2 linked regions of the Saccharomyces cerevisiae S288C genome follow. The gene in region 1 interacts genetically with each later gene. Each region holds a gene or a part of one and is shown in the gene's direction. Other genes may lie near its edges.

The links. Genes that interact genetically often act in the same process or in processes that back each other up.
Region 2: mutations in SMI1 (region 1) and SLT2 are lethal when combined (synthetic lethality), as found in Saccharomyces cerevisiae (8 studies listed by BioGRID, with this or other methods).

Annotation. Positions count from the first base shown.
Region 1 is NC_001139.9:947,433-952,608, reverse strand, and holds SMI1 (Smi1p), read left to right. Parts: upstream 1-1,709; coding exon 1,710-3,227; downstream 3,228-5,176. Other genes in the region: prohibitin subunit PHB2, read left to right, coding at 1-61; BNS1 (Bns1p), read right to left, coding at 302-715; OTO1 (Oto1p), read left to right, coding at 3,384-3,557; DIE2 (dolichyl-P-Glc:Glc(2)Man(9)GlcNAc(2)-PP-dolichol alpha-1,2- glucosyltransferase), read right to left, coding at 3,612-5,176. UniProt on the Saccharomyces cerevisiae protein: Protein involved in the regulation of cell wall assembly and 1,3-beta-glucan synthesis, possibly through the transcriptional regulation of cell wall glucan and chitin synthesis.
Region 2 is NC_001140.6:168,390-172,063, reverse strand, and holds SLT2 (mitogen-activated serine/threonine-protein kinase SLT2), read left to right. Parts: upstream 1-1,719; coding exon 1,720-3,174; downstream 3,175-3,674. Other genes in the region: RRM3 (DNA helicase), read left to right, coding at 1-1,265; YHI9 (Yhi9p), read left to right, coding at 3,503-3,674. UniProt on the Saccharomyces cerevisiae protein: Serine/threonine protein kinase involved in a signal transduction pathway that plays a role in yeast cell morphogenesis and cell growth.

The DNA of each region.
Region 1 (5,176 bases):
TAATGAAGCATTGTTGCTAAATACCGTAGTGGATGCAAGAATCGATGGAAGGGGCAAATAAATAGCGAAGGCTAGATATTATCTTTAAGAATTGAGTAACAATGTTAAGATGCCATATACTTGTGAATACAAAATAAAGGGAAAGAAAGCGATGCGTAAAACATAAATATTTGTATGTCTTCTAGAATAAGAATAAGGAGTATTACCCCGTATCATCTTGTATTGTTGGAGAACGTATATAGTATAATATGTAACACATACAGCAAAAAAATAGGCCAATTTATGATCATCATCCGTTAAATTAAATGTCTACATTCGGCTTGCGTGGTATATTCTGTTTGCCCCGCACAAACTCCAGTGTTTTGGGTTGCGATTTGGCTGAGAAAAGTTTTGACTTGTGATCATTCAGTTTTCTAGAGCATGGTGAAAGCAAATTGTCTGACGGCGACGCAAATTTTTGCCTAAGTTGCGTGTTCAAGTTTTTCCTTTGATCTTCCACTGCTTTTCTTTTCCGATACGTATTCTTGAATACTTGTCGATGAAGGCAATGCTTTGCAAATGTCTTCGTGTTATGCGCAACTTTAAGACTCATTTTCAAGTGTTGATTAAAAGAATCTAGATTTTCATCCCTCCTGGTGCAAGACACAGACGTATTTTGGATTTTTCTAATCAATTTTGTCACTATATCTTGGGATGCCGATCCGCCGTATGACATCGCAAATCTGTTACTTTTTTTTAGCGCAATGATGTAGTAGCCTCTGATTAACTTTTTTTAAAAAAAAATCACAGATAAGTAGAGGAAGAAGAATTTGCTGCTTATTGGGAACTTTCAATAGAAACCTTTTGTAGAGGATTTCGTTATTTGTTCAAGAGAATAAAAAGGTATACATTTGAAATCCTAGCATTAACTTCAGATACCTTCCACCTTACTAATCGCAGGCCTTTATGACAACGGAGGAGAGTTAGAACGAAGCAGAGAGGCTCCAATCTACATGGGAACATCGCAAAAGATGCGTACTCCGCACTGATCCATTTACCTGCAGGGCTTAACATGCATTGCACCACCGTTTGTACATCATAAGTTAATTACATTCCTTTTTAGGATAGTCTACTATTTATTTTTTCCCGTATCTGGAAAACCCCCTTAGATCCTTGTCACATAATCATAAAAATAAAGGCACCAAGCCCTAAAGCACGTGACATATGTCATTACCCTAGATTACATATAGGGCTTCCAAAGCCCTATTGGAGGTCGAAAAAAAGAAAAAAGAAAATAAAAAAGCGAAAAAAAGAAATGCATAATTCGCAGATTGTTTTTTTTTTCTTTTTCTAATGTCAGTTTTCCTACTTCGAGATCAAAAGAATGTTTTTGCACCGCAACTGAAAAGGTTGTGTTTTCTTTCCAGAGTAAATTACATTTTAATCAATTCTTTGCGCTGCTACGCAATCTTCAAACGCAAGTCCATTCTTAGAAATTTTAGCTTCTCTCAATATTGAAATATTTGCAAATACGCCATTCAAGAATCAAGCCTGTTGAAAATAAAGGTACAAAATTAAATCCGCTAATTATTTTTTTTCGTGTTCGACTAAAGTTATCGAAAAATTGAAAATATACAAGGACTAGCTATACTATCAATACGCAAAGAAAATACAAAATAAACGCACATTCGTTCTATAGGCGACAACTTGGCAGAATTTTTTAGTATAAAATGGATCTATTCAAAAGAAAAGTTAAAGAATGGGTATACTCCCTCAGCACTGACGACCATTATGCAGAGTATAACCCCGATGAAACGCCTACTTTTAACATGGGTAAACGTTTAAACAGCAACAATGGTCAGGTAAATCCCTCTCAAATGCATTTGAATAGTGTAGATGAGGAAATGAGCATGGGATTTCAAAATGGCGTGCCATCTAATGAAGACATAAATATTGATGAATTTACGTCCACGGAGTCAAACGATGGTGTCTCTGAAACCCTCTTAGCTTGGAGACACATCGATTTTTGGACCAGTGAACATAATCCAGATTTAAATGCAACTTTGAGTGATCCTTGCACCCAAAACGATATCACTCACGCAGAGGAAGACTTGGAAGTTAGCTTTCCCAACCCAGTAAAAGCGTCTTTCAAAATTCATGATGGCCAAGAAGATTTAGAATCGATGACCGGTACTTCTGGCTTGTTTTATGGCTTCCAACTAATGACACTAGATCAGGTTGTAGCTATGACTCAGGCCTGGAGAAACGTCGCAAAGAACCTAAACAAAAGATCTCAACAAGGTTTATCCCATGTTACATCTACTGGCTCTTCTTCATCTATGGAAAGACTAAATGGTAACAAGTTCAAACTGCCAAATATCCCAGATCAAAAATCTATTCCTCCAAATGCAGTGCAACCGGTATATGCACATCCTGCTTGGATTCCTTTAATAACGGACAATGCCGGTAACCATATCGGTGTTGACTTGGCGCCTGGTCCAAATGGTAAATATGCTCAAATTATAACATTTGGGAGGGACTTCGATACGAAATTTGTCATTGCTGAAAATTGGGGTGAATTTCTGTTATCGTTTGCCAACGATTTGGAAGCTGGTAATTGGTATTTAGTAGATGACAATGACGACTACTTTAGCGGTGATGGTGAATTGGTCTTCAGGGATAAGAAATCTAATGGTCCTATACAAGATTATTTCGAAGTTTTAAAAAGAAGAACGTGGATCAAGTATCAAGAAAACTTGAGATCACAACAGCAAAAATCTCAACCTGACACATCCTTGCAGGAGCAGAAATACGTGCCTGCCTCGCAAAAGAAAGTGGCAGCTGAACAGCCTTCTACCCTCAACGCAGAATCCATAAAGGGCGAAGATAGTGGTAGTGCAGATGTACAATCTGTTCAAGATCACGAATCTGTCAAAATTGTGAAAACAGAACCTAGCGAAGCGGAGACTACAACTGTAAATACAGAAAGCCTTGGACAAGCAGAGCATGAAATCAAAGCTGATAATGTAGACATTAAACAAGAAAGCGAGAGGAAAGAAGACGAAAAGCAACCAAAGGTTGAAGAAAAAGAACACGTTGAAAACGAACATGTCACAGAATCAGCAAAAAAAGACGATGATGTAAATAAGCAAACAGAAGAAATGAACAAAAAGGAAGAAAATGAAATAAGAAGTGATGATGCTAAAGTGGAAGAAGCGAGAGAAGAATTTGAAAATATAGCTTTATGAAATATCACAATTAACATTCTACAACCAAAAAGAAATTTGGACAATATTTATTTCTATTAAACTGTTCTAGGTAGGTTTCAACCTTAAGAAATTTATACAATATTATCATATATATATATATATATATATAGCACAATTCCCTTACGTTTACCAACCATGAACGTTCGTGGAAATCAATGCATTATGTCTATAAGAGTATTCCTAAAAGCAGGAGAAAGTTCGCTATCATTTGCCATTAAGTGGCTCAAACGGTTTGAGGCCACTACGAAGAAAAATCAATATATACAAAACGGTTGGCCACTAAAAGATGGAAATAAAAAAAGAAAATAAATACTACTAGTAAACATTTATAGAACGTCTTTTTGCAACTATAATCAATTCTGTTCACCATATTATTCTTTGCAAATAGGGCTCAGTGGTCCAAGGAAATGAGACCTTGGAAAAGATAACTAAAGTAACGACATTGAAGAGCATGAACCATAAAAATTCCATGAACAGTCTTTTCGTACTGCTTATGGTAATTGGGTTTTCGCCTTCTTTAGCAGGTTTTAAATCCTTTATCAAAGGTTCGCAGCTGCAGGTAATAAATATTCTCCAAAAGAAATAGGGCAATATATAGTAACGAGGTTCGAATAAGGGTGATGGAACGATAGTTACCATGGTGCACGTTATTAAGGCCGTCCACGATACATGTGTCAGTTGTATGGGTAAATGTACAGGTTCTTTGATGGGGAGTGGAGTGATGGGGTGAAAGGTGAGCTGGTTGGGTCTCATCACTTCAAGGTATGCGAAAGTGGAGAAATGATAGATTGGTGTCATAAAAAAGTACTTGATTAGTCTACTTTTGTTGCCTATCAATCTTCTGAAGAGGTAGAACGTGTAGTGTCTATTATCTGCTAACAAAAATGGGTGAACTTTTGTAAAGTATCTTATGATTAGCATAATACCAATAAATTCAAAAAAAGTTTGTACTGGCTTCCGTTTTATTCTTAATTTGTACAACTTCATAAAATTACGAGATATCCATATAGGTAAACTGAAAACGGTGATGAATGTGAAACAATAGAATATTTGTACTATATGCAGGCCTGCTGAGTGGCTGGACTTATCACCTAGTGTTATGGATCTGTTCCAAATCAGATAAATGAAGAACAAAACAAAATTTATCATATAGGGCAGAACAAGGTTGGAGAAATCGTCAATAGCATGAATGAATAATTTCAAATAGTTATTGAACGTATGCGTGTTGAACTGTTTTTGTAAAATGGCTGGGCGTTCAACAGCAAGAATCATTATAAATCCCGTCCAAATGATATTCGTTTGTCTGAAGAGACAGCTTACACCAGCAAAAAAAGCACTCAACCATATACTCTTCACGGGGCCAAACGGTAATGTTAACACGCAGCTGAGTGATTGCAATATCAGAATTGTAGACCACACATCGGTGTAAAATAAGTAATAATAAGTTGTCATCAATGGGAAGCTCATTAATGAAACGGGCCAAAAACCTAAGGCATTAAAAAGGAATATTGGCCTGAGTACTAAAATGGGGAAAACGATAATCCCTCCAAGTAAATTAACTAATCTTAGTATGGTTAGTGTGCTCCACGACTTGAATATGGGCTTTATACAATAATAATTAATTAAACCCAAAATATAGATTCCAGGGGGGGTTGTTATTTTAGGGTCCCATTGAGTCCATTTACCTTTTAAATAGGTCAAAGTTTGGCCAACGTGAAACTTTTCATCTATAAATTCATAAGGTACAATATTTGTAGTCATGTAACGGAAAGTTAAGACAAAATATATTAGAAGAAGAGGATATATTACTACATTACAGAAGATACCGGTAATGACTTCTTGTGTTAAGTTTCTCGCTATACCTGGTGCAATCAACTGAATCGCTGCTTCCTCTTCCAATACATCATTATTGGCTTCACCAGTATTTT
Region 2 (3,674 bases), on another chromosome or scaffold:
GTATAGGAATCGGGAACAAAACTATCGACCAATTGGTGAAAAAAATACAATCACAAAAGGACTTATTGGCCGCATGGAGGTATACAAAAGTTTTGATAATTGATGAAATTTCTATGGTCGATGGTAATCTGTTGGATAAATTAGAGCAAATCGCAAGGAGAATTCGGAAGAACGACGATCCCTTTGGTGGTATTCAATTGGTCCTGACAGGCGATTTTTTTCAACTACCACCAGTTGCTAAGAAGGACGAGCATAACGTTGTGAAATTTTGTTTTGAAAGTGAAATGTGGAAACGGTGCATTCAAAAAACGATTTTACTGACAAAGGTTTTCAGACAACAGGATAACAAACTAATTGATATTCTAAATGCCATAAGATACGGAGAGCTGACTGTCGACATTGCTAAAACAATAAGGAACCTAAATAGGGATATAGACTATGCCGATGGAATTGCTCCTACAGAACTGTATGCCACAAGAAGAGAAGTTGAACTATCCAACGTAAAGAAATTACAGTCTCTACCTGGTGATTTATATGAGTTTAAAGCTGTAGATAACGCGCCCGAGAGATACCAAGCGATACTAGATTCTTCATTAATGGTGGAAAAAGTTGTCGCATTGAAGGAAGATGCACAGGTAATGATGTTGAAAAATAAGCCTGATGTAGAATTAGTTAATGGATCATTGGGAAAAGTTTTGTTTTTTGTTACAGAATCGCTGGTGGTGAAAATGAAGGAAATTTACAAGATTGTGGATGACGAAGTTGTCATGGACATGAGATTAGTGAGTCGGGTCATTGGTAATCCCTTGTTAAAGGAATCAAAGGAGTTTCGTCAAGATTTGAATGCCAGGCCATTAGCTAGATTGGAACGTTTGAAAATCTTGATAAACTATGCAGTTAAGATCTCTCCGCATAAGGAAAAATTCCCCTATGTGAGGTGGACAGTGGGTAAAAACAAGTACATACATGAGCTCATGGTCCCAGAGCGCTTTCCCATTGATATTCCCAGAGAAAATGTCGGGTTAGAAAGAACTCAGATTCCATTAATGCTATGCTGGGCACTGTCCATTCATAAGGCACAGGGTCAAACTATTCAAAGACTAAAGGTCGACTTGAGGAGAATTTTCGAAGCCGGCCAAGTTTATGTTGCACTGTCAAGAGCGGTAACTATGGACACCTTACAGGTCCTAAACTTTGATCCAGGAAAGATTCGCACCAATGAAAGAGTAAAAGATTTCTATAAACGTTTAGAAACTTTGAAATGACTTGCAACGAATAAATGCATATACTCTAGTTGAAGTTTTCTTTTCTTGTTCTATACAGGTTCGAATACTTGTGAGCCTATCTGTATAATTTAACAGAATCCCGAAATATTCATCTAGAAGCCATCTATTTAGCTAAGCCTACGTATGCGGCGATTTTTATATTATCTTTTTTTTTTTTTATAGAAGACTGCGAAATGTTGGCAGAATGGAAAGTTTCAGTGTTAAAAATAGAAACTGAAAAAGGAGATCTAGCCAGGAATATATCGAAAAAAAAAGTGAGGGAAATCAGATCCTACACAAATATTTAGATTTAATTGAAGACCCTGGTCTGCCAGATATATATATATATTAGACGAACTGTGCATTCAGTCAGCAAATCTAGGCCACAGATTTTCTTATTGAAGCTATCAAAATAGTAGAAATAATTGAAGGGCGTGTATAACAATTCTGGGAGATGGCTGATAAGATAGAGAGGCATACTTTCAAGGTCTTCAATCAAGATTTCAGTGTAGATAAGAGGTTTCAACTTATCAAAGAAATAGGGCATGGAGCATACGGCATAGTGTGTTCAGCGCGGTTTGCAGAAGCTGCCGAAGATACCACAGTTGCCATCAAGAAAGTGACAAACGTTTTTTCGAAGACCTTACTATGTAAAAGATCCCTACGTGAGCTAAAGCTTTTGAGACATTTCAGAGGCCACAAAAATATTACATGTCTTTATGATATGGATATTGTTTTTTATCCAGACGGGTCTATCAATGGACTATATCTTTATGAGGAACTTATGGAATGTGATATGCACCAAATCATCAAATCCGGTCAACCTTTGACGGATGCTCACTATCAAAGTTTCACATACCAAATATTATGTGGTTTAAAGTATATTCATTCTGCAGATGTCTTGCATCGTGATTTGAAGCCCGGCAATTTGCTTGTCAATGCAGATTGTCAATTGAAAATCTGTGATTTTGGGTTAGCTAGAGGTTATTCGGAGAATCCTGTCGAAAACAGTCAATTTTTGACGGAGTACGTGGCCACTAGATGGTATAGAGCTCCGGAAATAATGTTGAGTTACCAAGGATATACCAAGGCGATTGACGTATGGTCAGCTGGCTGTATTTTAGCGGAGTTTCTTGGTGGAAAGCCAATCTTCAAAGGAAAGGATTACGTTAATCAATTGAATCAAATATTACAAGTTTTAGGGACACCCCCAGACGAAACTTTAAGAAGGATTGGTTCTAAAAATGTTCAGGACTACATACATCAATTAGGTTTCATTCCAAAAGTACCTTTTGTCAATTTATACCCAAATGCCAATTCACAAGCATTAGACTTATTGGAGCAAATGCTCGCGTTTGACCCTCAAAAGAGAATTACCGTGGATGAGGCCCTGGAGCATCCTTACTTGTCTATATGGCATGATCCAGCTGACGAACCTGTGTGTAGTGAAAAATTCGAATTTAGTTTTGAATCGGTTAATGATATGGAGGACTTAAAACAAATGGTTATACAAGAAGTGCAAGATTTCAGGCTGTTTGTGAGACAACCGCTATTAGAAGAGCAAAGGCAATTACAATTACAGCAGCAGCAACAGCAGCAGCAACAGCAACAGCAACAGCAACAGCAGCCTTCAGATGTGGATAATGGCAACGCCGCAGCGAGTGAAGAAAATTATCCAAAACAGATGGCCACGTCTAATTCTGTTGCGCCACAACAAGAATCATTTGGTATTCACTCCCAAAATTTGCCAAGGCATGATGCAGATTTCCCACCTCGACCTCAAGAGAGTATGATGGAGATGAGACCTGCCACTGGAAATACCGCAGATATTCCGCCTCAGAATGATAACGGCACGCTTCTAGACCTTGAAAAAGAGCTGGAGTTTGGATTAGATAGAAAATATTTTTAGGACAAAAAACTATAAGTAACCGGGGAAGTATAGAATCACCATAGATGTAAGCTTACAGACAATGTGTATATATGATGTATATGAACGTATACAAATATATATATATATACGTGCTCTTGTTGTAGCTCGTATATCAAATTCCTCCTCCGACGCTTATCTTAATCGTACTCCGCGGAAGTTTGTTATCGCCTCTTGAATTCTTTCTTTTCGTTCATTTATGATTAGTCATCTATAGACAATATTCATTATTTAAGCACCTAGAATACTAAACTAAATGTCTAAATATGACACAAGGAAGATAAGATAAAAAAAACCAAGCGCTTAGAATATGACTTTAATGGTACCTTTCAAACAAGTTGATGTATTCACTGAGAAGCCCTTTATGGGAAATCCAGTAGCAGTAATAAACTTCTTGGAAATTGATGAAAATGAAGTCAGTCAAGAAGAATTGCAGGCAATTGCCAACTGGACAAACTTATCAGAAACAACGTTTTTATTTA